Elephas maximus indicus: one gene and its partners. The main gene of each other region encodes a partner of the protein of the gene in region 2 in a complex. Links are inferred from orthologs where the notes say so. Each region holds a gene or a part of one and is shown on either strand. Other genes may lie near its edges. The genes, in order: surfeit locus protein 1, cytochrome c oxidase assembly factor 1 homolog, NDUFAF1 and TMEM126B.

Evidence for each region.
Region 1: cytochrome c oxidase assembly factor 1 homolog (region 2) and surfeit locus protein 1 share a complex: the UniProt entries of both Homo sapiens proteins name them as parts of the MITRAC (mitochondrial translation regulation assembly intermediate of cytochrome c oxidase complex) complex. The link is inferred for Elephas maximus indicus from reciprocal best matches to the Homo sapiens genes COA1 and SURF1.
Region 3: cytochrome c oxidase assembly factor 1 homolog (region 2) and NDUFAF1 share a complex: the UniProt entries of both Homo sapiens proteins name them as parts of the mitochondrial complex. The link is inferred for Elephas maximus indicus from reciprocal best matches to the Homo sapiens genes COA1 and NDUFAF1.
Region 4: cytochrome c oxidase assembly factor 1 homolog (region 2) and TMEM126B share a complex: the UniProt entries of both Homo sapiens proteins name them as parts of the mitochondrial complex. The link is inferred for Elephas maximus indicus from reciprocal best matches to the Homo sapiens genes COA1 and TMEM126B.

The regions. Positions count from the first base shown.
Region 1 is NC_064827.1:5,193,618-5,201,325, forward strand, and holds the start of surfeit locus protein 1, read left to right. Parts: upstream 1-4,586; 5' UTR 4,587-4,647; coding exon 4,648-4,758; intron 4,759-5,021; coding exon 5,022-5,073; intron 5,074-6,548; coding exon 6,549-6,682; intron 6,683-6,765; coding exon 6,766-6,848; intron 6,849-7,464; coding exon 7,465-7,656; intron 7,657-7,708. Other genes in the region: SURF2 (surfeit locus protein 2), read right to left, coding at 687-770, 1,637-1,791, 2,019-2,198, 3,360-3,463, 4,270-4,424, 4,509-4,586. UniProt on the Homo sapiens protein: Component of the MITRAC (mitochondrial translation regulation assembly intermediate of cytochrome c oxidase complex) complex, that regulates cytochrome c oxidase assembly.
Region 2 is NC_064826.1:106,440,890-106,448,431, forward strand, and holds the start of cytochrome c oxidase assembly factor 1 homolog, read right to left. Parts: upstream 3,100-7,542; 5' UTR 2,702-3,099; coding exon 2,652-2,701; intron 1,930-2,651; coding exon 1,874-1,929; intron 1-1,873. UniProt on the Homo sapiens protein: Component of the MITRAC (mitochondrial translation regulation assembly intermediate of cytochrome c oxidase complex) complex, that regulates cytochrome c oxidase assembly.
Region 3 is NC_064828.1:14,641,903-14,649,431, forward strand, and holds the start of NDUFAF1 (complex I intermediate-associated protein 30, mitochondrial), read left to right. Parts: upstream 1-4,524; 5' UTR 4,525-4,599; coding exon 4,600-4,724; intron 4,725-7,529. Other genes in the region: RNA polymerase-associated protein RTF1 homolog, read right to left, coding at 4,156-4,353. UniProt on the Homo sapiens protein: As part of the MCIA complex, involved in the assembly of the mitochondrial complex I.
Region 4 is NC_064825.1:36,040,768-36,048,363, forward strand, and holds the start of TMEM126B (complex I assembly factor TMEM126B, mitochondrial), read right to left. Parts: upstream 3,010-7,596; 5' UTR 2,984-3,009; coding exon 2,903-2,983; intron 1-2,902. Other genes in the region: DLG2 (disks large homolog 2), read left to right, coding at 4,952-4,970. UniProt on the Homo sapiens protein: As part of the MCIA complex, involved in the assembly of the mitochondrial complex I. Participates in constructing the membrane arm of complex I.

The DNA of each region.
Region 1 (7,708 bases), on a different chromosome or scaffold from region 2:
GGGCCATCTCTTGGTCCACACGGGAAGACCACCCATCAAATGACACTGGCCAAGCCAGTCTCTGGCCATTTTTTGGTAGGGTGATGGGTCCTCCTTGGCCCTGTGCTTGAAGACTTGTTTGTGGAAAGCAGGACTGCCCCGAGCAAAGCAGGCCAAGTGGCGCCATCGCTGCATTCCACACCAGTGCCTGGGCTGTGGCTGTGCCTGTCTCCCCTGGCCCTGAGCGGGCTGGTGCTGGGGACATACCATCTACCAACTGGTTATGGCAAAACAACTTCTGAAAACTTTTTTGCTTTACATGGGAAACAGGTATAAATCTCATTTTATGCTGTGTTTTATATCTTAGTTGTGTTTGAAAACGTTTTGATTTTTGGAAACATATCAAAATAAATAATGGCATTTGTTGTATGCAGTGTAATGATCTGGTCCTCGAGCCCACACGGGGTCCCATCTGGCCACACTGTTGTCAGCTAGGCTAGTTCCCCTCCAGGACACTTAGGATGCTTCCCTCCGGACGACAGCCTCCTGGGGTGGGGGCGGGACTCCTCCATCTTGGCCCTGCCTCGAGGGCAGCAAGGGTGGGTGGGGAGGGCACACAACACTGGGTAGCCAGGAGCAGGAAGACAGGGAGGTGCCTCAGGGATTTCTCTGGAAATTATGGAGATGTGCGTTTTCCCAGCACTTCATCAGCCCAACTGCTTCTTTGAGCTAAAGCTCTTGGGTCTGCAGTGGTGACTCTTCACCTTTTTCTTCAGTGAGCCCAGCTGCTTCTGTGGCACAAACAGAATCCCAGTTATGAGGGCCTCTCTGATCTGGGGATGGAGCTCCATGAATCTCTGTGATTCGGGCTCTTTACCCTACCACACCCCACACACATCCAGAGGTGCTGCTCTGAAACTCCCCACCAGCTGTCCTGCTCCACTGTGTGTGGCTGCCAGTCAGAGAGTCCCCATGGAGCATACTAAAGGGCCACGCTCAGCATTTCACAGATTTGCAGAAAGACCTGCAACTTCTCTAGCCCACGATCCTGTTTATCTACCAAGATCTTCATTGTCGAGCCTACTGCAGAGATAAAGGATGGTACCTAGTGATTAAACACCTTCTCAGATTTCCTGGGTAGCACAAACAGTGAAATGTATTTGGCTGCTAACTAAAAGGGTGAAGATTAATGTCCACCAGAGGCATCTTGGAAGAAAGGCCCGGTGATCTACTTCCAAGAAATCAGCCATTGAAAACCCTGTGGAGCACAGTTCCACTCTGACACACACACGAGGGCGCCATGAGTTGGAATTGGCTCCATGGCAATGGGTTTGGTTTTTCTTCCCAGGTAACTTTTCCAAAATGGCAAAAACAAAAACAAAAAACCCTGTAACTCAGTTCACTAGTCTCAGACCAGCGGTTTTCAAGCCGTTCTGTGGAGTCCAGTGCCGTGGAAGGCACCCAAGCAGCTACAACCAGGAAGCAAGTGGGAGGCCCGCCCATCCCCCCCAGTCAGAGCAGTCCCAGCTCGCTTTCATTTATATGTTGGCTTGCAATTTCACGTGTGGAAAAGATCCTATATTTTTTAAAACAATTTGAAAACTGCTAGCGGAAGCTGTTGCGATAGCGGCCCTGGGAGTTGGGTAGAGCAGCTCACCTTCCCGCGCTTCCGGACCAGCACCTGGGTGGTGGCCACCCCCTCCCCTCTGCTCCCGTCGTCCTCTCTCGGGGGCTGCATTGCATCATCCTCGTTGCTGTCAGTGCTGCCCCCACTTTCAGCCCCTCCTAGGTCCTCTCTGGTAAACAGCTCAGCTGGAAGGAGTAGGGAACCGGCTGAAGCTCAGGCTTCTAAAGGCGTTAAGAGGCGAGCGGGCAGCCAGGGAGGATGACACGCAGTGGGAGGGATGACAGCCAGAGCCACTGATTATGGTGGGCAATGGGAGCGTGGACAGCCTCGGAGTCCAGAACTCACAGCACAGCAAAGCACAAGGGTGGAGAGCAGGCCGTGCGTGGGTCCGGAGGAGGGCGTGCCTGCTTACATGGGTACAGGTCTGTCATGCTGTCGTCACTCTGGGCTCCTCCCTCATCACTGGACGCAGGCTCCCAGAAGTCTCCCGTTCCGCCAGGCGGCCTGCCACCGTCCTGGTCTTCCCGCCGCCGCCTCCTCTGCAGCAGGCAGGCCGGGACGTACTCCACCCCATGCAACTGGCATTCCTCATCTGGGGGAAACAGGCCTGTTAGCACACACAGCCCTTGCGCTCTGAGCCGACCCATGATGCTGCTCAGCCAGGGCCCCAGACCCCCACCCCATAGCAGCGGGTCCATGCCACCAGCCCAGCTCCCACCAGGCATGGAGAGGGGATGGGAAGCACGGACTGTGGCCAAGGGGCAAGAAGAGGGTGCAGGTCTACCGGCCGCCACCTTCCCTTCCTCTGGTTCCAGCCAGGCTACAACACGCCGTGGCTGGGGGTGTGCTGAGCAGCCCGAGGGCCAGATGAGCCAGGCCCAGGTAGGGCTGGCATGCGGCTCTCAATGCAGCTCGACCTGGACGTGACACCAGCTTGTCACCAGCCCATCACCTGCAGCCTGGTTGGAGTCTTCTCTCAGGCATGGTGGCCCAGAACCCCACCCTAAATGGGTGGCTCAGTCAGTGGAACTGGGCTGCCTGGCCCTTGCCAACCTTAGGCTTTGAACAGAGGATCTGCGAGTCACCGGTCTCCTCACACGCTGACAGCCCAGGGAAGCTGAACAGCCGGCGTGGGGAGGAGGCTCTTTGATTCAGGAAGGGTGTGGGGACCAGGCTGCTGTGTCCTCAACATGGGGAAGTCCCTCTGCGCCTTCCCACAGCCCCCAGTCCATGCCTCTCAGCAACTGCAGCCCTGGGACAGGAGTTGGAGCACCCCCGCTTGCTTAAGACCCAGCGGTGCACCCACCATGTGCACTCCTGGCTGTGGCCCCACAACTCTAGGGCCTGCCCCTCCAACCTTCCCCACCCCTTGCACGCTGGTACAGCTGCTGGCACAGCCACACTCTCTGTGCCTCAGAACTTGCACAGACCCCCTCTTCTCTCTGTGACCCCCACTCCTCACATCCCTCCAGCCTCAACCTGGAGAGAGACCCACGGAGAGCCCCCCAGCCCTTCCGTTCAGGGCCGGCCCTCTGGTTGGTCACTCCCTTGGCAGTGTCTCCTGTGCTGGCTGAACCACGCTGGCAAGTGCTTCTGAGTCAACTTCTTGCCCCGCATCCAGCTCCCACTAAGCTGAACCCACACGGTCAGGACTGGTGCCCCAAACACCACGTGACTGAGGGTGGCTGAGGCTGGACTCTGCCTCCCAGGGCGCCCTGCCCTGCGTTCTCTGAAGGATACCCACGGTACTCACACTTCTGCAGTGCTCTCTGGAAGCGGCGGCCCCGGGTGTGCCTCAACACATGCTCCGGGCACTTGTTGATGTGCCGCAGGGTGAGTTTGCAGAACAACTGGCGCCTGAAGGACAGGGACACCTTGGTTTGTGGGACAGTTCGCAAGAAAGGAGCCAGGCCAGTGGCTCGCCAGCCCGGCTGCATCTGAGAATCACCAAGCCCATCCCCAGAGGTCTGGTGGAAACGGTCTACAGCATGCCTGGGTGTAGGGATTTTCCAAACTCCCGAGCGAGTCTATGCTGCAGCAGGCAGGCACCACAGCAGGGCTCAAGAATGAGATCATGCCTGCTGAAGACACGGCATCAAGTAAGGCAGAGAGCTCCAGGCACGGAGCACCTACCACCACCCCTTGCTCACCCTAAGCCTCGTCAGCCATCACACAGCTAAAGAGCTCCTTTCAAATAGATACGACGCTGACATCTCTTGGAGCCTTACGAAATAGGACACAGTGGTCCTGCTCCTCTGTAGACTGGACAGAACACACATGACAAGCCTCACACCCCGGGGATCACAGGTGACTCACAGCACCGGCCTCCCACCTGGAACCCAGGTCTCCTGACTCATGAAGAGACCTTTCCTTGAGAGGAGCGCTGAGCCAGACAGGAGGCCTGGGCTTAGTTACCGGAGTATGCTACCCCTTCAGCAGCCAGACTTGGCGCAGGTAACTCTTCTCCCCCGGCGTGGGGAGAATAAGACTCCTCAGCGCCTGGCACAGAGCCCGGGAAGTGGCACCTCCACAGCGGAGGCCCTGGAGATGGTGGGCTCCCTTCCAGGGGGGCTCGGAGGTGGGGGCCCTGGGAGCACACCGAGGTGGCTGCCCCCCTCTGCCCCATGTGGGCGGCCCCGTCGCCCCACGTGGCGCCCACGTACGGGTTCTTGGTGCTGGGCACGATGTGCGGCTCGAACTCGGCGTAGTCGAAGGCGGGGAATGCTCGCACCAGGCGCTGGTACTTCTTGCCGCGAGTGTAGACCTGGAGCTCGGGCAAGCGGCAGGGCAGCTCGTGGCCCGTCAGGGTGCACGTCACCTGCGGAGGGTGGCAGCACGGTCAGAGGCCCGGCTCCCGCCCCGCGTCCCCGCCCCGCGCCCGCGCCCCCGTCCCGCCGCAGACCTTGGTGCCGCCGGGCTCGAGCCGCAGACCCGGGTGCTGGCGCAGGAAGACGCGCACCTCGGCCGGAGGCTCGCCCATTTTCGGCCGCCGGCGTAGCGCACACGTGGGCCGGGCGGTCTTGGCGGTGCCCCGGAAGCAGATGGGCCCGCGCCCCGGAAGCGCTCGTGGGCCGCTGGGGGCGATGGTGGCGTGGTGGCTGGGGCCCGCGGGGCTGAGGCTGCTGCTGCTGCGTGCGGCGGGCGCGGGGCCAGTGAGCCGGGCGTGGAGGGCGGGGAAGAGGGGGCGCGGGGCCGGGGGGGTGCGGAGGGCGGGGAGGAGGGGGCGCGGGGCCGGGGGGGTGCTGAGGGCGGGGAGGAGGGGGCGCGGGGCCGGGGGGGTGCGGAGGGCGGGGAGGAGGGGGCTCAGGGCCGGGGGGGGTGCGGAGGGCGGGGAGGAGGGGACGCGGGGCCGGGGGGGTGCGGAGGGCGGGGAGGAGGGGGCGTGGGGCCGTCAGCCCACCCTCTATCGCCGCAGGCCCCGGGCAGCGCCATCGGGAGAAGCGCCTTTGGGGCACCCCGACGCCCAGGTGAGGAGTGTGTCCAGGGCATGATTTAGGGACAGCCATCCTGCTTCCTGTCGTGCACGTTACAGGGGTGGCCTGGGGATCAAAATAAAGTCAGTAACTCCGGACTGAATGCAAACTCTATGTGGGAGAGGCTCTTCGCATTTTTTTGAAATGCATTTGGTCAAGCCTTGGTTTTGTGCGGATACGGTTGTCGTTGTGTGTCAAGGAGTGGATTCTAACTCACGGTGATCCTATAAAACGAAACAAAAAAAAACATTGCCATTGAGTGGATTCCCACTTATAGCGACCATATAGGACAGAGGGAAATGTCTCATAGGGTTTCCAAGGAGTGGCTTGTGGATTCGAAGTGCCGACTTTTTGATTAGCAGTGGTAACTCAACCTGTGTAGGATCGTACCAAAGATCCCCAGTCTTTCCTTCCATGGAGCAGCTGGGTGGGTGCAAACCACAAACTTTTAGTTAGCAGATAAGTACTTAACCGTTGTGCCACGAGGCTCCTTGCCAATACTGTCAAAACCAAAAACCAAACCTGTTGCCGTCAAGTCGATTCTGACTCATAGCGACCCTATAGGACAGAGCAGAGCTGCCCCATAGAGTTCCCAAAGAGTGCCTGGTGGATTCAAACTGCTGACCTTTTGGTTAGCAGACGGAGCTCTTAACCGCTGTGCCACTAGGGTTTCCCGCCAATACTGTAGCGAGTGCTTTATTATCACAACAGGAAGGCTCAGAGAGGTTATGTACCTTGCCCAGCACCTTACCCAACAATTGAGCGACAGAGGCAGGCCTCAAACCCAGGGCTCTGAAGCACATCATTTATGTGCCGCCTCTCAGTGTCCAGCAGGGTCTTCTGCAGCGCGTAGAGGGCTGTGCATAAATGAAGGACCCTTGAGAGCCTCTCCCAGCCTGCTTTTCTGCCATGCCCAAGGGTCACCCTATGAGAGCAAAAACGCACCTTCGTGTGTACTGTTCCATCTTTAAATTTCTGATGAGCAATGAAAAGGAGCAGCTTTGAAGAGAGCTTTGTAAACCATCGTCTAACTTCAGGGCAGATACCGTGTTTCCCTTCAGAGCACAGTAGCCAGTGGTGCCCATAGCTGCTTGCTAAAGGTTTCTTGAGCATATGAATGAATACCCAGCTCCTCTTAGTACAGTAGGATATATCTTAGCGCATTCTTGATCAAAAAAGCATGCGGTGGTTACAGAAGTTATGCAGGGTCGGGGTTGGCGACAGCCCTGGGAGACGCCCTGGGTCTCAATTTAGTCAGCATTTCCGGAGCCTGTGCCATGTGCCAGGCACTGGGCACTGAGGTGGGACCTGGGCTGGTGGCCTGTTAGCTCCTGTGCCATGTTCTCTTAGGCAGTATCGGCAGAGGGAGAATTCTTGAGGAATTGGCTGCTCCAGTCCTGTTTGTTCTGGGCTCTGACCAGTGTCGATGTTGTGCAGCCAGCACCGCCCACCTCTCTTGCTCCCTCTAGGGGTGGCCTGGAGGCCAAGCAGGCGTGGTGGTTCTGCAGCAGAAGCACGAACCACCGAGGCGGAGGACGACTCCTTTCTCCAGTGGCTCTTGCTTCTCATCCCTGTGACTGCCTTTGGCCTGGGGACATGGCAGGTAAAGGCTGGTGTGTAACCGGCTGTCTCTGAGCCTTTGGTCTGCTGCTGTCTGCTCGAGGTTTGCATATGCTGTGTTTGTAGGTCCAGCGTCGGAAGTGGAAGCTGAAGCTGATCGCGGAGTTAGAGTCTCGAGTCATGGCTGAGCCCATCCCTCTGCCCGCAGAGTGAGTGTGTGGCCGTCTGCCCAGGCTGGTCAGCAGCGGAGCCCCAGCTTCTGCTTGCCTCCCAGCCCTTTTCAACGGGGCTTTGTCAGCCACATCCTGGCCCTCAGATAGGAGCCCACCAACCTCAGTCTCTCTGCTGGGTTTCCTCTTGGAATCTAACCACCCTGCGAAGCTGCCTGAGGCTGTCAGACAGATACAGGAACATCTTGTCCTTGAGCCCTGGTGGCTTTCACCCTGTCTCACGTGCAGCGAACCTGAAGCCCCCTTTCCCATGCTGACAGCACCATAGAGCAGCAATGCTTAGCTGCAGGTGAGGGTTGACAAAAGGGGTCCTGGAGTGAGAGTGTTCTTTTGAAAAGGTGCCCCAAGTGATTCTGCTGCCCCTCCCATGTGGCATCAGAAGGCTGGGCTGAGGAACGCCTGTTAGAGGGCACGCCCTGCCACCCCAGCCCCCTCTGTGCCTTGCAGTGTCAACGTTCACTTGTCTGGCCCTTATGGGCTTCGTAGTTTGCAGCCATGGCCTTTGAGGGAGTTTTCCTGCTGGGCCTCGTGTGGGCTCAGCTCCCTCTCCCTCTGCACCTAACCCAGCGGCCCCCTCTCCATCTCTCCACCTTAGCCCTGTGGAGCTGAATAGTCTGGAGTACAGGCCAGTGAGGGTCAGGGGGTGCTTTGACCACTCCAAGGAGCTGTACATGATGCCCCGGACCATGGTGGACCCGGCCCGAGAGGCCCGGGATGCTGGCCGGATCTCATCCTCGGTCGAGAGTGGGGCCTACGTCATCACCCCCTTTCACTGCTCTGACTTGGGGTGAGTAGAACAGGCAGGGAGGGCAGGGAGCTGGCTGGCATGGCAGGTGCTG
Region 2 (7,542 bases):
GCATTTTCATCACTGTGGAATCAGCTTGCTACTTTGCACAATCCGACGTTTCAGTGTCAACAGAAGCACAGCCCTTTTCTTCTACTTACTGTATACTCCTGGTCTTAATTACACTTTAGCTTTTTTCAGTGTATAATCTTGAACAAATACACAGATGGTTAAAATTAGAGGGCACTTCTTTTCTTCTGTACTATTACTCTATCTCTTTCAAAAAACGCCAAAATCAAACAAACTGATGACTTGAAATAAGGGCAAAAACATTAACCAATTTTTAAAACTTTTCTAAAGTGTATATGACATTTGACTTTAATGACTTCTGATGCTGTTAAACCTCTCCTCCCTGTTCCACCTCTAGTCAAATCACTGACTTGACAGTGAATATTGCTGTACATTTATGAACAGCTTCAACAGCCCAGCTTCCAGGGCTGGCCATCACCTGGGAGCAGCTCTCCAGACAGCAGAGAGGAATATGGCATAAAGCAGAACAGGCCTCCTGTCAGTTTAAATCAACAGACATTTATCAGTCTGCTAGTATTCCCTTCTTGTCCTCAATCTTTATTTCCACTTAACTTTTAAGTACTTCCAAATTCAAAAGTTCTCACATGGCTTTTTCTTTTCTTGCAAATTTATCGGGAATATGTGTAGTCATATATGGGAACTACTCACTTCACAATATTCTTCTGAGGCTGGCTGTAAGCTTTATTCCACTCTGACACTAAATTACTCTATAATCCAAAAACAAGGAAAGGAAAAAGGAATCAATTTTCACTGAGTACCCCCCGCACACTGGCCCTGCACTGGGAGTTTTACACGTTACTGTCGTGAGTGAACCCCTTCTATGGAGCCCATCGAGAGGGGCATGGGAAGACAGGCCTGGCAAACTGCTTTTGAAAGGACACATCCTTGAAAATCCTACGAAGCAGTCTACTCCACAAGTCGGCATCAGCTCCACGGCAACTAACACAACAACAACCACTCATCATGTGACTACTGTGAACTACGGCGTCAACGGAAGGGGGGAGCCGAGACATTGTCCCCCACAGATCCGAGCTCTCGGTCTACGCTGGATGTCTGACTGACTTCAGATCACAAAGCCTTCTGCTTCAGACCCCAAGCTAAAAGACCGTAAAAGACAGTAGAGTGAACGGAAATGGAAGAAAATCAATAATTAAGGATTCTGCAGTTTGGAGGAAATCATTTACACTCAATGATTTAAAAAAAAAAAAAAAAAACACCGCCACAATGGCTCCTTTTGCTACGGTTTAAATAGGAAATTATCCCTTAAGTAAATAAACATTCACATGAATCACTCTCTTCTACTTTCAGGAAAAAAAAAAAAAAAAAAGATGCAAAATCTCAGCCCTATTCAGACATGTGTGCTTTCAAACAACTTCAGGAGCAGAGTTGGTTGTGAGAAGAAGCATAACAACGGGCAAGGCCTCTGGCCTCAAGCTCAGTATTTCTGAGGCGTTCTGCCTTCATTAGTACCCTGATTCGTTCAATCATTCCGTTAACAAATACTTATTAAACATACCGAATGCGCCTTACACAGCACCACCTTAAAGGATGAGATGGGTGACAGTGCCAATAACCAGGATCAGGAACAAACAAACTAGGGAGAAACTGCAGTAAACTTTGTCACTATGAACCAGGAAGAGGGGGAAGAAAGGTGCTACAAAGAAAATTGATGCAGTTGCATGGAAAACTCCACAAAATGGTACAGCTGCTGTGGAAAATAGTTTGGGAGTTCCTCAAAATGTTAAACATAGAGTTATCAGGTCAGATCTTCGTATTTACAACATATCAAATTGAGCACATGAAAATTATTAAGTAGTTATATAAGTCAGTTTCACATCAATTAATCTCTTCTTACCTGGGACTTGCCCACAACTTTGGTCTTCGTTCAGAACTTGAAATGCTGGTTCACTGCTTGATTGAAATAGAAGAAGGGAGAGAGGTGCTGAAGCACCCACTCTGGACAGAGCAAGGGCTGAAAACTGCTTGAGCTGGGGACGCAAAGGAGTTCAGAATCCTAGCTGAGGTAAGAAGACGTCTGGGCTGAAGCAGAGACAGACAGTCTGGGATTCTAGCTAAAAAGAAGGTCTAATCTAGAGCAAAACAATGGATTCTACTCCCTATTTCCAAACTATCCTCACAGTTCTGAATAACATGTATATTTTAAAAGTATGTTTATATATGAAAGTGTGTGTATAAAACATTTACCTAAACTTATTAATCTGTTCATTCACCAAATACCCACAGAGCACCTATTATATCTAGACATGATGGAGTGACAGAGAAGTATTTAGGCTAGTTGGGAAGATGAGACGAATGTAAAAAGTTGTATTTTATGTATTATGAATGTATGATCAAACCTGTGGACGCTGAGTCAACTCCAACTCACAGAGACCCTATGTATGTACAGATTAGCACTGGTCCACGGGATTTTCTTGGTGGGTTTGAACCTTTATGGAAGATCACCAGTTCTTTCTTCCATGGTACCACTGGGGGGGGGTATGAACCACCAACCTTTAGGTTAGTAGTCACACACATGCTAACAGTTTGAGCCACCCCAGGAAGGGCTAAATGCCCTAAAAGACAGACAGAGGGCTACGTGAAAAAAGCAATGTAAACCTCACACATATACACACCTATCCTTTAATCTCCCAACGTGTTTTATATTCTTCACAGCACTTTTCATTCTCCACGAAAATGTACATTGCAAGGAGTCAAAGATTTTGCCTTGTTCGCAGCTATAACTCCACAACCTAGAAGAACACCCGGTGTACAGGATATTCTTAATAATTATTTCTTCAATGAGCTATTAACACCACAGTGAAATTGCCATTTAAAAATAACTACCGAGAGTCCAGAAATAAACCCTAAATTTATGGTCAGTTGATTTTTTTGAGAAGAGTACCAATACAATAAAAAGAATAGTCTTTTCAACAAATGGTGGGGGACAACTGGATATCCACATACCAAAAGAAAAAGTTAGGTCCCTTTCTAACATATGAGTAAATCTCGATGGCCTTGCATTAGGCAATGGTTTCTTAAATACAATATCAAAAACATAAGTCAGAAAAGAAAAAGTAGATAAGTTGGATTCAGAATTAAAAATACTTGTGCTGCAAAAGGCACCATGAAGAAAGTAAAAACAACTCACAGAATGGGAGAAAATATTTGTAAATCGTATATCTGACAAGGGATGTGTATCCAGAATATATAAAGAACACTTACAACTCAATAATAAAAAGAAAAAAATAACCCAATTTAAAATGGGCAAAAGATTTGAATAGACATTTCTCCAAATAAGCTATACAAACGGTTCAAAAACACATGAAAAGACGCTCAACATCAGGAAAAATGTAAATCTAAAAACCACAATGAGATACCACTTCACGCCCACTAGGATGGCTATAATCAAAAAGACAGATGACAAGTGTCAGCAAAGATGTGGAGAACTAAGAACCTTTATATACTAGTGGAAGGAGCCCTGGTGGCATGTAGTGGTTAAGCACTTGGCTACTATACCAAAAGGGCAGTGGTTTGAACCCACCAGCCACTCCGCAGGAGAAAGACCCAGTAGCCTGCTTTCCTAAAGATTTACAACCCTGGGGAGGTCAGCACAATTGGACTAAACCAAAAGCAAAGAAGTTTCCTGAATAAACTGAATGCTTCGAAGGCCAGCGTAGCAGGGGCAGGGGTCTGGGGACCATGGTTTCAGGGGACATCTAAGTCAATTGGCGTAATAAAATCTACTAACAAAACATTCTGCATCCCACTTTCAAGAGTGGCGTTTCGGGTCTTAAATGCTAGCAAGCAGCCATCTAAGATGCATCAATTGGTCTCAACCCACCTGGATCAAAGGAGAATGAAGAACACCAAGGACATAAGGTGATTATGAGCCCAACAGACAGAAAGGGCCACATGAACCAGCGACTACATCATCCTGAGACCAGAAGAACTACATGGTCCCCAGCTACAACCAATGACTGCCCTGACAGGGAACACAACAGAGAACCCCTGAGGGAGCAGGAGAGTAGTGGGATGCAGACCCCAAATTCTCGTAAGACCAGATTTAGTGGTCTGACTGAGACTAGAAGGACCCCGGTGGTCATGGCCCCCAGACCTTCTGTTGCCCCAGGACAGGAACCATTCCCGAAGCCAACTCTTCAGACATGGATTGGACTGGACAATGGGTTGGAGAGGGATGCTGGTGAGGAGTGAGCTTCTTGGATCAGGTGGACACTTGAGACTATGTTGGCATCTCCTGCCTGGAGGGGAGATGAGAGGGTAGAGGGGGTTAGAAGCTGGCGAAAAGGACACGAAAAGAGAGAGTAGAGGGAGAGAGCAGGCTGTCTCATTGGGGGAGAGTAATTGGGAGTGTGTAGCAAGGTGTATGTGGGTTTTTGTGTGAGAGACTGACTTGATTTGTAAACTTTCACTTAAAGCACAATAAAAATTATTTAAAAAAAAAAAAAAAAGATTTACAACCCTGGAAACCCTATGGGGCAGTTCTACCCTGCCCTACAGGATCGCTATGAGTCAGAATCGACTCTACAGCAGCAGATTTTGTATAACACTAGTAGAAATGAAAAATGGCACAGCTGCTGTGGAAAACAGTTTGGTAGTACCTCAAAATGTTAAACACAGAGTTATCATATGACCCAGGAATTTCACTCCTAGGTGCATACCCAAAAGAAATGAAAACAGATATTCAAATAAAATCTTGTATAAGAATGTTCACAATAGGACTATTCACAACAGCCAAACAGAATAAACAGCCCAAATATCCAGCAACAGATGAAAGAATAAACAAAATGTGGTATATACATACAATAAAATAATATTCAGCCATAAAAAAGAATGAAGTACTAATACATGCTACACATGGTACTACACTCTATGTATATACTACATTTGATTTTATTCATTCTCTTAGATGTTGTTGTTGTTGTTAGGTACCATTGAGTCAGTTCCGACTCATAGCAATCCTATGTACAACAGAAAAAAACACTGCCCAGTCCTGCGCCATCTTCACAATCATTGTTATGTTGGAGCCCGTTGTTATAGGCACTGTGTCAATTCATCTCGTCGAGGGTCTTCCTTTTTTTTTTTGCTGACCCTCTACTTTACCAAATATGATGTCCTTCTCCAGGGACTGGTCCCTCCTAATAACATGTCCAAAGTATGTGAGACAAAATTTCGCTACCCTCACTTCTAAGGCGCATTCTGGCTGTACTTCTTTCAAGACAGATTTGTTTGTTCTTCTGGCAGTCCATAGTATATTTATTATTCTTTGCCAACAACATAATTCAAATGTGTGTATTTTTTAAAGAACACATAAAAATAACTAATCAAGAAGAAGAATGCTGATGAATTTAACTACATTAAAATTAAAGAACTTCTAAGCAAATAGGGAGCACACTTACGGGTACTTCTTAGACATAACCAAACACCTTGCGGGATTGATTTCCTGGGTTTAAAGGATTAGAACCATTGTCTTGTGGGACATCTCAGTCAATTGGCATAATATAGTTCAGAACATAGTTGCTGCAAAAGACCTCTTTAAAGTGTTAAAAAACAAAGATGTCACTTTGAGGACTAAGGTGAGCCTGAATCAAGCCATGGTATTTTCAATCACCTCATATGAATATGAAAGCTGGACAATGAATAAGGAAGATCAAAGAAGAATTGATGCATTTGAATTATGGTGTTGGTGAAGAATATTGAATATACCATGGACTACCAGAAGAACAAACAAATCTGTCTCGGAAGAAGTTACAGCCAAAATGTTCCTTTGACGCGAGGTTGGTGAGGCTTTGTCTCACGTACTTTAGATGAGTTTTCAGGAGGGACCAGTCCCTGGAGAAGACATCATGCTTGGTAAAGTAGAGGGTCAGCGAAAAAGAGCAAGACCCTCAACGAGATGGACTGACACAGTGGCTACAACGATGGGCTTAAACATAGGAACAATTATGAGGATGGTACAGGACTGGGCATTGTTTCATCGTGTTGTACGTAGGGTCACTATGAGTTGGAACGGACTCAAATGCACCTAACAACAACAGTTCATAAAGCTTATGCTCTACATCCTTGTTTGGTGAATAGTGTCTGGGATCTTAAAACCATGCAAGCGACCATCTAAGATACATACATTGGTCTATACTCATTCAGAGCAAAGGAGAAAGAAGGAAGCCAAAGACTCAAAGGAGAAACTACAAGACTAATAGTCTACATGAACCATGGCCTCATCTACCCTGAGACCAGAAGAACTAGAGGGTGCCTGGCTATCACTACCAGCTGTTCTGATCAGGGCCACAATAGATGAACCCTGGTAGAATGGGAGAAATATGTGGAACAGAAACTCAAATTCCTAAAAAAAAAAAAAAGATTTACTGGACCAGATGAGACTGGAAGACTCACCTAGACTACTGCCCTGAGATACTCTTTAAACCTAGAGCCAAAACTAGCTCCTGAGGTCACCTTTTGGCTAAGTAATAGATTAGCTCAAAAATAAAGAATATCACCCATGAGTACTGTGCTCCTTTAAAAAATGATCTCTATGAGACCATATGGTCAATAATTACTTTAAAACAAAGATGAGAATGTAAGGGGACAAGGAAATTAGATTAATGGAAACAGAGCCACCATAACAAAAAATATTGAGAATGCTGACACACTGTGAAGAATGTAACCAATGTCACTGAACAATTTGTGAAGAAATTGTTGAATGGGTGTAAACCTTTAGTGAAAACACATAAAATATTATTTAAAAAAAAATTAAAGAACTTCTGTTTATCAAAAGACAGTATAGAGAAAGTAAAACCTAAGCTGGGAGAGAATAACTCTTATATTCATAACCAAGCAATAGTATCCAGAATGTCTAAGTTAATCCTACAAACCAATCAGAACAAGCAACCCAACAAACATATAAGAACCATTAAACAGACATTTCACAGAAGACAAATGGCAGTAAACATATGCGAAAGTGCTCAATATCACTATTAATCAGGGAAGTGTAAATCAAGACCACAGAATAACATTGTATGTCCAACAGATTGGTCAAAAATAAACAAATACAACAATGTCAAATGTTGGCAAGGATACAGATCATTTGGAAACACTCATATACTGCCAATGGGAATGTAAATTGGTATAACAAACCTGAATCACAATTTGGAATATCTTGCAATATCCTACAACCCAATTAATTCCACTCTAAATATATACCCTAGAGGAACTTTTGTACAGGTGCATCAGGAAATGTACAAAAGACTGTTCACAGCAGCACTGTTCAAAATAGAAAAAAAAATTGGAAACAATTCAAATGCTCATTGACAGGAGAATAAATAAATACATGGTGGTATATTTACACAGAGCAATAAGATAAAATAAAATGAATGGACTATCATTAAAGGCGCACTTACAGAAAGAAAAGAGCCTTGGTGGCACAGTGGTTAAAGCAATCGACTGCTAATTGAAAAATCAGCAGTTCAAAACTGCCAGCTGCTCCAAGGGAGAAAGATGTGGTGATCT
Region 3 (7,529 bases), on a different chromosome or scaffold from region 2:
GATATACCAATCACAAAAGGACAAATATTGATGACCTCGCTTATATAAGAAGACAAGAAAAGGCAAATGTATAGAAATCAAAGTTTATTAGTGGTTACCAGAGGTGGGAGGGAGAGGAAAAAAGGGGGTTAATGGTGATGGAAAAATCTCATAAGAATAGGTTGTACAGCTGACTATTGTAATTGCTGTCAATAAGTTTTACACTTGTAAAAAGTTGAATTGGCAAAAGTTGTGTGATAAATATTTACTACAATGACAAAAAAAAAAGGTAGCTGCTGAGGCTGCTTATGTACAAGCAAACACCTCATGGGATTTGGTTCCTTGGTTTGGAGATTTAGGGGCATGGTTTCATGGGACAGCCCAGTTAACTGGCCTAATAACATGTTCAGTGCTTCTGTTCTAACTCCTGGTTTACTGCATAGAGTCTGGGGTCTTAAAAGCTTGCGAGCAGCCATCCAATGCACAATTGGTCTCTATTCACCTGGGGGAACAGAGGAAGGACAGTCAGGTATATAAGGAAGACATGGAATGTGTAGCTAATTGCCTCCACAGAAAACTGCCTCCTTTGCCATGAGACCAGAAGAACTAGATGGTGCCCGGCTACCATTACTGAACATTTTGATCAAAGACTCCATAGAAGAATCCTGATCAAAAGGTGGAAAATGCAGAACAGAATTCCAAATTCTCATGGACTCTAGACTTTCTGGAGCCAGGTGGGGTAGATGAACCCCTGAAACTATTGCCCTGAGATAATCTTTAAACTGTAAACCAAAAAATACACTCTGAAATCATCTTAAAACCAAGCAATCATTTTGCTTAACTAGTAAAAAAGGTCTGCCTTGAGCACTATGCTCTTTTAAGAACTATCTATACGGGATCAAATTGACAACAGCAACTTGAAAGATTAGATAGGAACCTTACAGGGCAGTGAGTTTATGTTAATAAAGAACAGCTCAGAAAAGGAAGGTGAGAATGGATGCACAACTTGAAGAATATAATCAATGTCACTAAATTGTAGATGTAGAAACTATCAAATTGGTGGATGTTTTGTTGTGCATATTCTCAACAACAAAATAAATAAAATTTAGGAAAACAAAAAACGCAGAGTCCAAGGCTCTATCCCCAGCGGGTCAGATTCAGTAGATGTGGGATGGAAGCCTGTAGAACCTCCTGCCCAGGCACCTTCTGACACAGGTGGTCCTCAGCCTACCACAAGGGGAAAAAAAAAATCCCTAGAAGGTTCACCTGTATCACTTTCAGTAAGGACTATGTTGAGGTAATATTTCTGACATAATGGCTTAGATTTCCATCTGGAAAACCCAGAGACAAAGTATATTCTTAGTAACTATGCTCCACTCACACACTAAACACTCAGAGATTTGCCACAGTTTGTATCTTCTTGTAAGACAGCAAAGCTGATCTTTCATTTCCAATGAAGATCCAGAACTAGACAGAAGCAGACCAAGGCATCTTGGTCAGGAAAGATCCCAAAGGCATTAATTTTGTTCTGAGTATTCCTAAAGACCCCTAAGCCTAGCTGACTGTGAATTTCTGCTGAAGGCCTCTGGAGAAATCTTCCAGAGGGCAGAGATCTTCGTCTTTGATTCCCTTGAGGGCCTGACATGGTGCTGAACAGATAGTTAGAAGGTACTGGTGTCTCTGGTTTTTTTTTTTTTTTTTTCAGTGTCTCTGTTAGGATGTGCAGAGGGAATCTTGATCTGGTTCCCACCTGATTACAAGACTGCCAATGAGTGGTTAAAGTTGAAAATGCTGCTAAAATGCATTAGGTATTACTTACAAATTTCATGCTAGTTTATTTTTACAAACAGATATTTAGAGTTGGATTTAAAGCTGCAATCCCCTCCAGTTCCCACTTGGAAAAGCTCTTTGTGGATCAGGCAAATCTCTACCACAAAAGGAAGCTCTCAACTTATTTCATTCATCAGAATTCTGTGGAGAACGACTAAGGACAGGATAATTTGCAGCTTAGTTCATTCATCGTTAGAACAGATGTCTTGAGAGTGCTTTACCAAGGAAGACCCCTTAATAACCTTTTAGGCTGATGTACCAATTTCCTCTAAACTACTCAGTGTACTTGGTAAACATGAATTCTAGCAACCTGGAAAATGGCCAGGAAAAATTATTCTCATTTTGTAATATGAAAAATTAGAATATCAACAGATTGAGCCCATACAGCAGGAGGAGTAAAGGCCTTGTAGTAGTAGTACAGATTTAGGTTCAAATATCAACTCCACTACTTTCTAGTTGTATGAAGCTGTGAAAGTTTACTTAACTTTTTCAGTCCCCCTTTTCCTCATCTGTAAAATGGGGAAAATAATACCAACTTCATTATAACTTAAGAACTTGATAATATAAATAAAGGACTTAACTACGGTGTCTAGTTCATCCTAGGCACTATGTAAATGGTAGCTGATGTTATTACCATTCTAGATGAGGAGAAAATAGTAAAAATAGATTCTAATCCTCCTAACTGCCAGTCTAGAATTATCTATCAACTGAACTTTTACAGTCAAGGCTATAGTTTTAATATTTTTGTTAAGTATCTGGAGGCTTTCAATGAGAACGCTTTCAATTTACCCTTTCGGTTGCTATCCCAAAACAAAGTTTCTATCCCTCTGATAGTTCTCCACAGGCCCCATTACTTCCCCACCTCCCTACCACTCTTTTCAAAACTGCCTTATTTTCTTCAACATCTCTCCAGTCCTTCTTCCTTACAAAGTCCTCTCTTTCAATTCCTTAATGTTTTAGTCCTGAGGTACCTGGCCTAATACAAAGGATGTCCAAGAAGACATTTACAGAGAAACTTTATAGTCTGCAAATGTTTGTACCCACGATGATTCTTACACTCGATTCTTTCAACAGCCCAATCAGGATAGACAAAGCTGGTGTTATATCCTGATTTGTTAAAGCCAAAGACACTTACCTAGAAAGTAGCACTGCCCAGCCTAGAACTCAAATTTGTAGACACCAAGTTCAGTAATCTCTCTACTCAATTTATAAAGCTATTACCTTCTTGGAAACCCTGGTGCCGTAGTGGTTAATGCTACGGCTGCTAACCAAAAGGTCGGCAGTTTGAATCCGCCAGGCGGTCCTTGGAAACTCTATGGGGCAATTCTACCCTGTCCTATAGGGTCGCTATGCGTCGGAATCGACTCGATGGCAATGGTTGGTTTATGGGATTACCTTCTTGCATATTCTTTCTTTATATCATTGCTTATAAAACATGATGGAAAATCCTATTCGTACCTCCCGTTATCACTAGAGTAGGGCAACAAAGGACAGCTTCCTCCCTACAGTGTTTTCTAGAGAATACAGGCAGGTCTAGCAACCCTAAGACACTGAGGCCAAAAGTTACTTTCAATGCTTCCTGCACAATCTTAAAGTCAGAAAGAATTCTGGGGATGCTGCATGACAAGGATCGAGAGGCTTCTGCCACAGCCCCTCCACACCACCCTACACAGTTCTCCACTTCTGACAGTATCTGCCCTCTTTCCTCCGCCCCAGAGTTTTCTCCAGTCTGACATCCTAACGGGAACCCTTCTCAACCACAAACGACCCTAGTCGCTAAAGAGACTCGCGCCCACAGCTAAGTCTTCCTCGTCAAGCATGGCAGAGGTTCCCCGGAACATTTACAAGCGTCCCTCCTCTCCGTCTGCACCCCCTTGTCGGAAAAACTTCATCTTCCAGAGTCCACACCTTCTCGCCCCCTCCCCCCAACGCTGACCGCCCCACCCTTGCACCTCCTCCAAAACCTCCCAGTCTCCTGGGTTGGCGGGCGATACTTCCTATGTCTCCGGGCTCGGATCGCCCGGCCCGCAGCACGCCGCCCCGGCCGGGCCCCAGCGGATCACGGCCCCCTTCATTCGCCCGAGCCCAAGGCCCAGCAGCCCGGTCTCTGCCCCGCCTCCCCGCCCAAGGCGCCAAGTCCTCGGGGCTCCGTGTCCAGGCCCGGGCCGGACGCCGAGGGCCCCGGCGCTGGGGGGAACACAGGAAGGGGGCGGCAGCGGCGGGCAGGGCGCGGGCCGGGCTGGGCGCTCGGGTCGGGAGGCCCCGGGCCCGGCCAGCTCCTGGCCGCCGTGGCCCCGACTCAGCCCTCCCGCCCGCCAGCCCCGCGCCTCCGCGGCCTGTCCTCACCTGATCCAGGTTCTCGTCGCTGCCGCTGTCCTCCGTGTCCGAGTCGATCACTACCCGACCTTTCCGCTTCTTTACCATGGTGGTCCCCCGGCTCTCACGCCGGACGCCGCCCGGACTCCCCTCTAGCCCGCCTGCCAGTGGGACCGCCACTGCCGCCGCCGCCGTCGCCGCTCGACCTACACAAAGGCGACCGCGCATGCGCGCTCCGCTCCGCCCCTGGCTCCGCCCACTTCGTAGCACGCCGTTCGCCGGCGCCCCGCCCCATCCCGCCCCCGACGCAGCGTGGGAGGCGGGACCGCGCGCGGACTTGGCTCTGGGCGGAGGGCGGCCGTCGCTTGCGTAACGTCGGCCTCTGGCGGACTTGGGCGTGTCGCTGTAGCCGAGTGGAAGCTCGGCGGCGTCCCCACTTGGCGAGGGCTGGAGCCTCCGAGGTCCGCAGAGGGCATGGCCCCTGGACCCTCTGTTAGCCCAAGACTGGAACCACTCCTGAAGCCAGCTCTTCAGACAGGGATTGGACTGGACTATAGAATAGAAAATGATGCTGGTGAGGCGTGTGCGTCTTGGCTCAGGTAGACACGTGAGACTCTGTGGGCAGCTGCTGCCTGGAGGGGAGACGAGAAGGCAGAGGGGGACAGGAGCTGGCTGAATGGACACGGGGAATACAGGGTGGAGAGGAGGGGTGTGCTGTCTTGTTAGGGGGAGAGCGTCTATAAGTTAGCGAGGCGTGTATAAGTTTTTGTATGACAGACTGACTTGATTTGTAAACTTTCACTTAAAACACAATTAAAAAAAAACAAAAAAACAAAGAATCTGAGTCCACTCTGAGCAGGCTCACTCATCTCCAGCCTTTTAAGTGTCAGACACCCATTGAGGGATGGAGCCTGCCAGGGCTGTGCAAGTGACAGGTGATCTGGGGCCCGGAGGATGCACCTGAGTTAGCCCAGAGAGTGGGGGGGAAGGCTGTTCCAGGCACAGAGAACAGCAGGGGCAAAGGCCCAGTGATCATACAGAGTGTTGGGTTGAGGGAGCTGAAAGTTCATTATGGTGGGTGCAAAGAGTATGGTGTGTGGGAATGAGGTGAGAGATGACGGCGGAGGAGGGACGCAGCGGCCACATCTTTCAGAGCCTGATGAACAACATTTAAGAATTCGAACTTAAATACTGAAAGATTTTAAACCGAAGAAAGACATGATTAGATTTGTGTTTTTAAAAGATTACTCTGGCCGCAGTATGGAGAATGCATTAGAAGGGAGTGAAACTCAGGGTAGGGAGGCCACGTGGGCTGTTGGTATCATTTTGGCAAGAGATGATGGTGTCCTGAACTAGAGAAGAAGCAATGGGAACGGAGGGAAGTGAGCAGATTCTTAATAATTTGGAAGGTAGAACCCCCAGGACTTAGAGATTAGTTGGGGCAGGGATAAGAGAGTGCTAGGTCCCCAGATAAGGCTCAGATTCTGGTTTAGGAAGTGTGTGGCTAGTGGGCCCTTAGTCAACATAACACAGGAGAGGAGAAGGTTTGGAGGTCTGATGTGTGTAGGGAATGAGTTCAGTTTTATACATGTTGAGTACAGTTGATAAAAAGGTCAGTTATCTCAGTATCTTACCTGGTGGTGTGACAGATGATCACCCTGGAGAGATCTGACCTCTGGTCACCGTGCCCTTCCCAGGCCAGAGTTGCTGCGCTTGTCCATTCATTGTCACAAGTTGGTAAGAGAGTACCAAAATGTGTCCAAGTGGATCACCTAGGTACCAAAAACCTTCCGCCCTGCTTCCACTGTGTAACGGCAGCCCAGTCTTCTTTCTGATCAGGATCAGTTTCTCCTGCTGAGATGGTGACTCCTTTTCTTGCCTATACAGGAGGGACCAAAGTGCCCAAGTGACAGCTGTAGCTTAAAGTTCAATAGGATCCTTGCTGTGTTCCCTTGTGGAGGTCTTCCTCCTTTGGGGAGCACTTTAATCTTGCAGAGCCCAAAGTTGTGGGGCAGGAAGCACAAATGTCCTAAGTGGGTCATTGGGAGTGATGATAAGTGAGGCCACTCCTGCTTCTACCCCTTACGAACCAGTCCCATGTATTCTCACTACTGGGGACAAAGCATCATAAAAAGATCTTTGATTCAAGGTGTATACTGCACCCTGAAACTGGCATCCTAGCCTCATAAAGTAGTGCCTCTGAATTTGTGCTTCAACAGGCCATTTCAATGCTCTATTAGGCAGCTTCTGAGTAATGTGGTTTGATGGTTTAAAACAGATCTGCAAATTATTTGACACACACACAAAAAAAACAAAAAGCAAAAACCCATTGCCATCGAGTCAACTCTGACTCATGACCCTATAGGACAGAGTAGAACTGCCCTGTAGGGTTTCCGAGGAGCAGCTGGTGAATTCAAACTGCCAACCTTTTGGATAACAGCTGAGCTCTTAACCACTGTGCCACCAGGACTCCTCCCTTCAAAAGACAGAGCTTAATTCCTTTCCCCTTGAGCGTGAGCTGGTCTTGTGACTCACTTCTAACAAATAAAGCAGATAAGATGGCATGCGACTTCCAAGACCAGGTCATTCAAAATACTGTGGTTTCTTTCTTCTCTCTCTCATTTTCCCTGATTCCTAGCTCATTACAGGAAGTTAGCTGCTGTGTTGTAAGGACACTCAAGCAGCCCTGTGGAGAGATCCACTTGGCTAGAAGCTCCTACCAATAGCTATGTGAATGAATCCTTTTGGAAGTGACTCTACCAGCCCCAGTCAAGACTTCAGATGGCTGCAGCCCTGGTTAATATGTTGACCACAATCTCATGAGAGACCCTGAACCAGAGCCATCCAGCTAAGCTGCTCCCAGATTCTTGATGCTCAGAAACTATGTGAAATAACAAATGTTTCTTGTTTTAAGTCACCAAGTTTTGGGGTAATTTGTTATGAAGTAATAGGTAACTGACACACGTGGAATGCAATATAACCGTGGTCATGAGCCATACCTCCTTTGCTGTAAAGCAGGCACTCTGGACTGATACAGTATTATGTGGGACCCCATGTCAGGGCACCGAGCACTTCATAATCCCTCTGATAGTAATGCTGGGAGAGAATCAAAATACATGTGTTTTGTTTTTGTTTTTTTTCCTGTCACAACAGATCAGTGGCCTTCCATGGTGGGAGGATCCAATGTTTTTAACTTGCCACCAAGTGACCAGCTAATCTCTTTGAGGAATACTGCCCTGTAGGGGCTCAACGTTAGTCTCTGTTGGCGGCATGTCAAACATTTGATGACGGCAATGGGTAAATCAGCCTTGAAATGTGAGAATCCATGCTGTTGGACCCGTGTACATATTCATCTCTGACACTGTGGCCATTTATGTGCCAATCGTACCAGCACTGGGGTGGCC
Region 4 (7,596 bases), on a different chromosome or scaffold from region 2:
AGAAACATGACATTTTTAGCAAATCCTAACTTGTGGTTGCAAATGTTTACATATTATATTGGTAAATGGAAAGTCTCGATGCAAAATTCAGTGCTTTTTCCTCTCCCTATTTTTTCTTATATCCTCCATATCAGCCAGTGAATAAATAAAAATCTACGGTCCATTCACAAATTTACATCAATCTACGTTTTAACAACTTTTATAGTCAAGGGCATATACTTAATCTCAAATTTCAGAAGTCCTGGGCAAGAGAATTAGAGTGGATTAGGCACAACAAGGAGTCCCTGGGTGGAGCAAATGGTTAAGATAACTGAAAGATTAATGGTTCAAACCCATCCAGAGATGCCTTAAAAGTAAGGCCTGGCGATCTGCTTCTGAAAGGTCACAGCCTTGAAAACCCGATGGACTGTAGCTGTACTCTGCATACATGGAGGTTCCATGAGCTGGAATCAACTGGATGGTAACTAACAAGCACAATGAGGAATCCCTGAGTGGTGCAAAAATGGTTAATGTGCTCAGCTGCTAACTGAAAGGCTGGCGATTCAAGTCCACCCAGATGTACCCCTGAAGAAAGGTTCGACAATGTACTTTCAAAAAATCAGACATTGAAAACCCTATGGAGCACAGTTCTACTCTGATACAGGTGAGATTGCCATGAGTCAGAACTAAATGGACAGCAACTAGGCTGGATGCACAATGAGCACAGAAGATACGAAGTCAGTGGCTCTCAACCTTCAGTGGGGAGTTTGTTTGAAATGCAGTCTCTTGAGCTCCCTCTGGAGATAGATTCAATAGGAATGGGGTGAGTCCTAGAAATCTGCATTAATAGCACCTCAAGTGCTTCTGATGCCAGTGGTCAATGGACACATTTTCAACATCACTAAAATACATGTTTGCTGAATGTGTGATCTGTTCCAACATCCTAACTACTGAAGGCCATCCATAGCATCAAAATGAAGGTATGGGCGCCTCTGAACGTTCTTACGGTTTTACACACTGAGTAATAATGGACCAGTTTCTTTCACTGTGGGAGCTATGGTGGTGCAGTGGTTAAGAGCTCAGGCTGCTAACCAAAAGGTCTTCAGTTCGAATTCACCAGCTGCTCCTTGGAAACCCTATGGGGTAGCCCTATTCTATTGTACAGGGTCACCATGAGTCAGAATCGACTTGACAGCAATGGGTTTTTTTTTTTTTGGTTTATAGTTAAGATTTTGCCTCTCTCTGATATCCGAATTGAAAATGGAAAGGAAAAGATAGTAATGTCTACAAAAAACAAAACAAAACCTGTTGCCATCGAAATCGATTCCAACTCATAGCGACCCTATAGGACAGAGTAGAACTGCCCCATAGGGTTTCCAAGGAGCAGCTGGTGGATTTGAACTGCTAACCTTTTGGTTAGCAGCCAAACTCTTAGTATCCAACCTGTTTAATGTACTAGAAAGGCAAATGTCAGTACCGTGATGATTTACCAGACACCTTGGATACATTTTTGTTTTATTGTTGGCCACTACATGGAAATTCTCCATCCCTTACAAAAAAACTTCAGGCAATACCTTACAACAATCTCCTATTCAGTTTATACGGCCAGCTCTGAACAGAGAAAAGAGATACCAAGATTATGATCCTAAAATACTGAAACAGAACAAATATTTATTGAGTGCCTAGTTCTTTGCAAGACATTGTCAATACAAAACATTGTCTTCATTACACTCGGGAAAGCAAAAAAAAAAAATAGACCGGTAATTTTCAGAAAGACTTTTACAAGAATTGAAATGTAAAGATTTTGCTCTAATCAACATTTTATCTAAAAATGAGCTAGTCCAAGTCACTCAACTGGCCACCACACTTACACAAGTGCGCTTATGAGTCAGAATGACTCACAGCAACTGGGATAGTCTGCAATGCTTTTTACGGTTTTTGTAGTGCTTTTTATGTGTATTATTTCATCTGACCTTCAGAATTTTATTTAACATTCACTCATCATTTATGGAACACCTGGTATATGACACACACATGACAGACACCTGGATAATCAAATAATAGTCATGTCCTTAGGAGCCCACCAATAGCGGAAATCAGGACAAAAAAAGCAGACAATTAAAATGCAGAATGAGGTTGCCATAAACAATCAAACAAAAAAGGTCTACTTAACCTACCAAGGGCGAAGGTTTCCTGGAGGAAAGGTTATTTTGGCAAGGATCCCAGAATTGGGGGAGGGGGAAGGGTTAGGTCGGGAGAGAAGAATTGAGGGAGGTTAGTCTGGAGAAAAGGGGCAGGGACTATTCCAAAACCAAACCCACTGCAGTAGACAGGATTCAGACACATAGCACCCCTACAAGACGGAGTAAAACTGCCCCATAAGGTTTCCAAGGCTATGGTCTTCATGAAAAAAGACTACCACATCTTTCTCTTGCAGAGCTGCTGGTGGGTTCCAATCTCCAACCCTTAGATTAGCAGTCTACTGGTTAACGACTACACCACCAGGGTTAAAGGAAAGAAGGGTACAAAGGCCCAGAGGCAAGAGAAAACAAGCTGCAGACCATCAGGACTAGACTTTATGTCTTCCCTCCAAAGTCCCTGGGTGGGGAAAACAAACGGTTTGAAGTTCAAGGTGCCTCGGGAGAAAGGCCTGACAATCTACTTCTGAAAAATCTGCCATTGAAAATCCTATGGAACACAGCTCTACTCTGACAAATATGGGATTGTCACGTGTAGGAATCCATTCTATAGGCAGCTGGTTTACTGGTAGTCTCTCGGACTCTTTCCAATAGGAACTAGGAGCATAATTGGTTGCACCCTGCGTGGACTTGGAGCTGTTCTTGTTTTTCAAATCCCCTTTACGTGCATCATCTCAGGAGAGTCCCCAGAGTCACGACCCACACCACTCTGGATTTCCGCCTACCTTGGGCGCTTCCCCAGCTCCCACCGGCACCACACTTACATCCCCCAGCTGAGACCCAGCTGCCCGCCCGAGCGCCGCCATTTTGGCGGCTCACGTGACCCATGGGTGGACCCGCGCCCAGAACACCCTGGGCGGGAAGTGGTGCAGGCTCACGCCTCTTGCTCTCAGCCTGGGTCCGCCCCCACCCAGTCGAAAGCCGCGCCCTCCATGGCGTCTAGAATTTACGGCCACTCATTGGCTTCGATAGTGAGCCCGCCCTTCTGCTAGTCCCGCATTCCATCCCCGGCCCTTTGTCAGCCCGGTGGTGTTTTCTCCTCTTATCCTGAGGGGAGAGTGGAGTTAGCCGAACCTGTGCATGTTGCTGCCCGCCGTCCTCACTTCAGGAGCGCTCCATTAGCTGGGGTCGAGCTCTTTGCCCCTTTCAGTCTCTGAGGAAATTCGTTCCCTATGGCCTGGTCCTTGTGTTAAGGCTCCGGCTTCTCGGGCACCTCGTCTCTAGAACCCTCACCGGCCACCCGGGGCCGCCAGAGTACCCCTTACTAGCTTCCTCCCCTCGCAGCCGTCTGACTCCTTTCCCCGTTCTTTAGTCCCCTCACATTCCATTCTCTCGCCCCGCTTGGGAAGGAACCAGAGAGAAATTTGGCACCCCCCGCTCCCCTACTCCAGAAGACCCCCTTGTCAGCCGGTGTTTCGGGTTGGGGAGCGCTGTGAGGAGGCCAGGCGCTCTTTTGGGCACGCAGTATCTCCCAGACCAGCAACCCCCGACCCTCCAGACTCCATGTCTTAAAGCCAAATTCGAGAGTTATATAATATTTAGTGCTGCTGTTCCTCCTGCCTGAGGAAACACTTCATCGCGTGGAGGGTGCAGAACATTTCAGTGCTCTTCTATATAAGAACGGGGTGTGGGCCGGGGTGGCAGCGGTGGCAGAGAGATTTCTTCTCTCTTTTTTTTTTTTTTTTGCAAAAGGAAGGTGGGTAGTTTGGAAAAAGATTAAGAGAAAGAGTGGATGTGGAAGGCAAGCAGCTGAACTCTCATTTAGGAAATCGCGGACCGTTTGCATAGCTTATGCTTACATGCCTAATACAACTACAGCGTCTCTGAAAACACCTTTCGGGGGAAGGTTTGGCTTCTCCTGACGAACAGTCTGTGTTTTTCCTTGCCGGATAGGTAGCTGTTTGGATGCGAAGAGATGGCATGATGTGAATGACTCCAGTGTGAAGAAATCTGCTTCGCCAACTCATCCTGCATCAAGTGCCCATTGAGTAGCACTGTCACTTTAATGTCTCTATGCCAAGGGATTGCTTTCCTTCTTTTCAATCCTCTCGGTTAATACATGGGAGGATCAGAATCAGAGGGGCATTAAAGAACAAGCCGTGGGGGGCTTGCAGAGCACAGAAGAAAAAAATGAAAGTGACAGCAAGCTGGATCCTGTCTGACTGAGGGGGTGAGATCCGGAACTTCTGGTCCAGTAAACAGAAAGGGGCCTTCCAGTTTGTTTAGCCCCAGCGAACTGTTCAAACTCACCTACCTTTTTAGACACCAGTGTTTTTTTTTTTGGCGGGGGAGGGAGACGGGTAAGGTTAAATTTCTCTGTAAAGAATTGAGGGTCTTTATAATCAACTAGTTCATCTTTGAACTTGATCATGTATAGAATGAAACATCTGTCTAAATTTGGTTTGTGCCTTAACTGAACTTAGTCATTGAACTTCCAAAATGTTGCTGCCTGAAGAGGAGTTTTAATAACATTTTCTATGTCTACAATACTTTTCTCAGTTTTTTAAATCAGAATAAATATTTTATAAATATCGGAAAACTTGAAAAACTCAGAAGTTATTTTTCTCTAAACCCTGTGGGCAGTGTCAAAAGTTTAACTGAGGAAAAAATACATTATTATTTTCTTTATGTGAAATAGAAGACTCAGCCTGGATTTCAAAACTGAACAGTGAAGTGGTTTGGAACAGTTACCTGGCTCTTGGCATAAATCCAGCTGGATCAAGCTGAGACGTGAAAAGATATCTTGAATCCTGTGGAAGTGGAAAGACCCAAGAATGCCAGTCAAGAGGAAAGGTGGGCTATGAGGCTTCCTCTATAATATTTGTTTCTCCCCTTTTTTGGCTCTGCTATTTATGATTTAAATTGTATTCCATTTGAGGGCAAAATTTTGGTTTGGGGAAATATCTATGGTAATGATTATTCAGTGGTACATCATTCAGTAATATTTTGCTAAAGAAAAAGTAAGTAGGACTATAGTATTTAATTTGGCGTCAATTCGGTGGTAACCAACAACAACATAGTATTTAATTATAGACGTTTGTGATTTTGTAAATCAGGCTGTCCAAATCACCATTTATAATAAGAATATATTCAGCGCCACAGATTTGGGATTTTTTTAGCTTGTTTTCTTAGATCGTTAAAAATTACTTTTAATCAATCTTTAAAAAACAAACAAACCGGTACAGTGGAGCTTTTCCCCATGGATTTAATATTTATCAAGCTAATTACATAGTTGCAAGAGATAGCAAAGTAATTTTGTTTGCCCTGAACAAACTTAGAAATTTACAATTTATCTTTTGATTTAAAAAATAAATTTCACATTTATTTATACTCTAATGTAAATCTTCACTTTTTGTAGTAAAGCACAACTTTGGTTAACTGTTGTATTTTTCTAGATACATGCCTTATCCAGTGGCATAATTGGCAAGTTACCCAAAAGAGGCAAACCCATAGCTTCTCCCTTCACCTCCTCCCAACAACTTTTATCACGGGGAATGAATCAATATCCAGTGGGTTTCTGAAGTATGGTCTATTATTGGTCAGACCCTGGGGATTCACATTAGCCTAGATCTGTACTTAAATTTCTTAGCGATACTACTTTCTTTTTTAAATGTGATATGGAAGATCAGATCAACTATAAAGAATTTTTCTCGAGAGTTTTGAATCAAAATTTATTTGAACACCCTTGAACTTTACTATACTGGGCTAGCATAGATCCAAATATTGGCCAGTTGTTGGAGTTGCTACACTCTGAAACTGAAGTTCTCGGTGAACGGTAAATTTCCTGGATCCTGAGCCATTTCCTACCATTGTCAGTGACCAAAAGTAGTGCAACCTGGCCCTAAAACGTGTTTAATCTTTCTATCTGTGAGTTTGGAAGGTGTATTGAGGAAAATTGTAATCAGTGAGATGTTTCATCTGAGCTAGTACCTGTAGTGTTGGAAAATGATACATGAAACCTTGGCAATGCCTAGAACAGTTCTTTGTACACTGGAATTTAAGACTGGGATTGTCCCAGCTACCCTCACATTCACCCTCACCTCCCCCACCCTGATACTATCACTGAGGGAAGTAGCCCCCTCTGAGATCTTGGAGCCACACCTGTGCACACTTGACACAGTTGGTTTATCTGGAATAAGAGTGGTTTTGTGAATGTAGCTAATAAACGATATGGCTCTTCAAGTCATTTAGTTTGCTCTGTCTTTAAATTCTTCCCACCTAAATTTATAGACACAAATTACTCTAGGCAGTGTCCGTTTTGGACTAGCTAATAATTGAATCAAATACATTGTGTGTGGGGTGTGTGTGTGAGAGAGAGAGAAGAGGGAGGAGAGAGCAAGAAAAGTGGGAGAAGAGAGGGGAGAAAGGGATAAAAGGGTAGATGGAAAGGAGGAGGAGGAAGGGTAATTGATGTTCTAGGTATAACTTACCAAGGGTGAACTTAAGGTTTCTAAACCCAATAGACGGCTTCTTAAAAATTTCTATCTTTAAAGGAACTGTTCTAAAAATTGCCAAGTTATTGAAAATTATAATACTTTATGAGAAATAATTTAATGTTTATTCCCACCCTCCCTTCCTTCTTTCTTCTTTTTTCTCTTTTCTTCCCTTCCCTTCCCTCCGTCCTTTTCTTCCTTCTCTCTAACAATGAATTGATTATAATGGATCAAATTTTTTAGGTAATGAACAAGTTCTAATTAGCAAAATAAATATATATTTTGACTATACTAAAGTGTATGTATTATGTAATCTATTTTTCTGAACTGACCTAGTTTGAGAAACATTTTATTTTATTTTTAATATCTTAAGACTGTTAGTATTAAGGTACATATTAGAATACTATAGACAGCTAGCCAAACAAGGTATATTATATTTTTTAAGTGGCTAAGCTTACTATCTGTACTATTTCTGTAAGTAAAAACAAATAAATTATGAAGTATGTTGTTGTTAGTTGCCACTGAGTCAGCTCTAACTCGTGGCAGCCCCATGTACAACAGAACAAAACATCGTCCAGACCTATGCCATGTTCACAATCACTGGTATGCTTGAGTGCCTTCCAGTTTACAGGGCTCATCTTGCAGCATTATGCTGGACAATATTCTGTTGTGATCTATAGGATTTTCATTGAATAATTTTTGGAAGTAGATTGCCAGGCCTTTCTTCCTAGTCTGTCTTAATCTGGAAGTTCTGTTAAAACCCATCCATTATGGGTGACCCTGCTGGTATTTGAAATACCAGTGACATATCTTCCAGCATCATAGAAACCCACAAGCCACTACAGTATGACAAGCTGACAGATTATAAAGTGCAGCCTAGGTTTGTTGTATAGAGAGCAGTGTCCACTGTCACATTGACTTTTTTTTTCTTTTCATTGTTAAATGCGGTAGATATGATGGAAGAGCTAGACTTACTGTAATTTTAA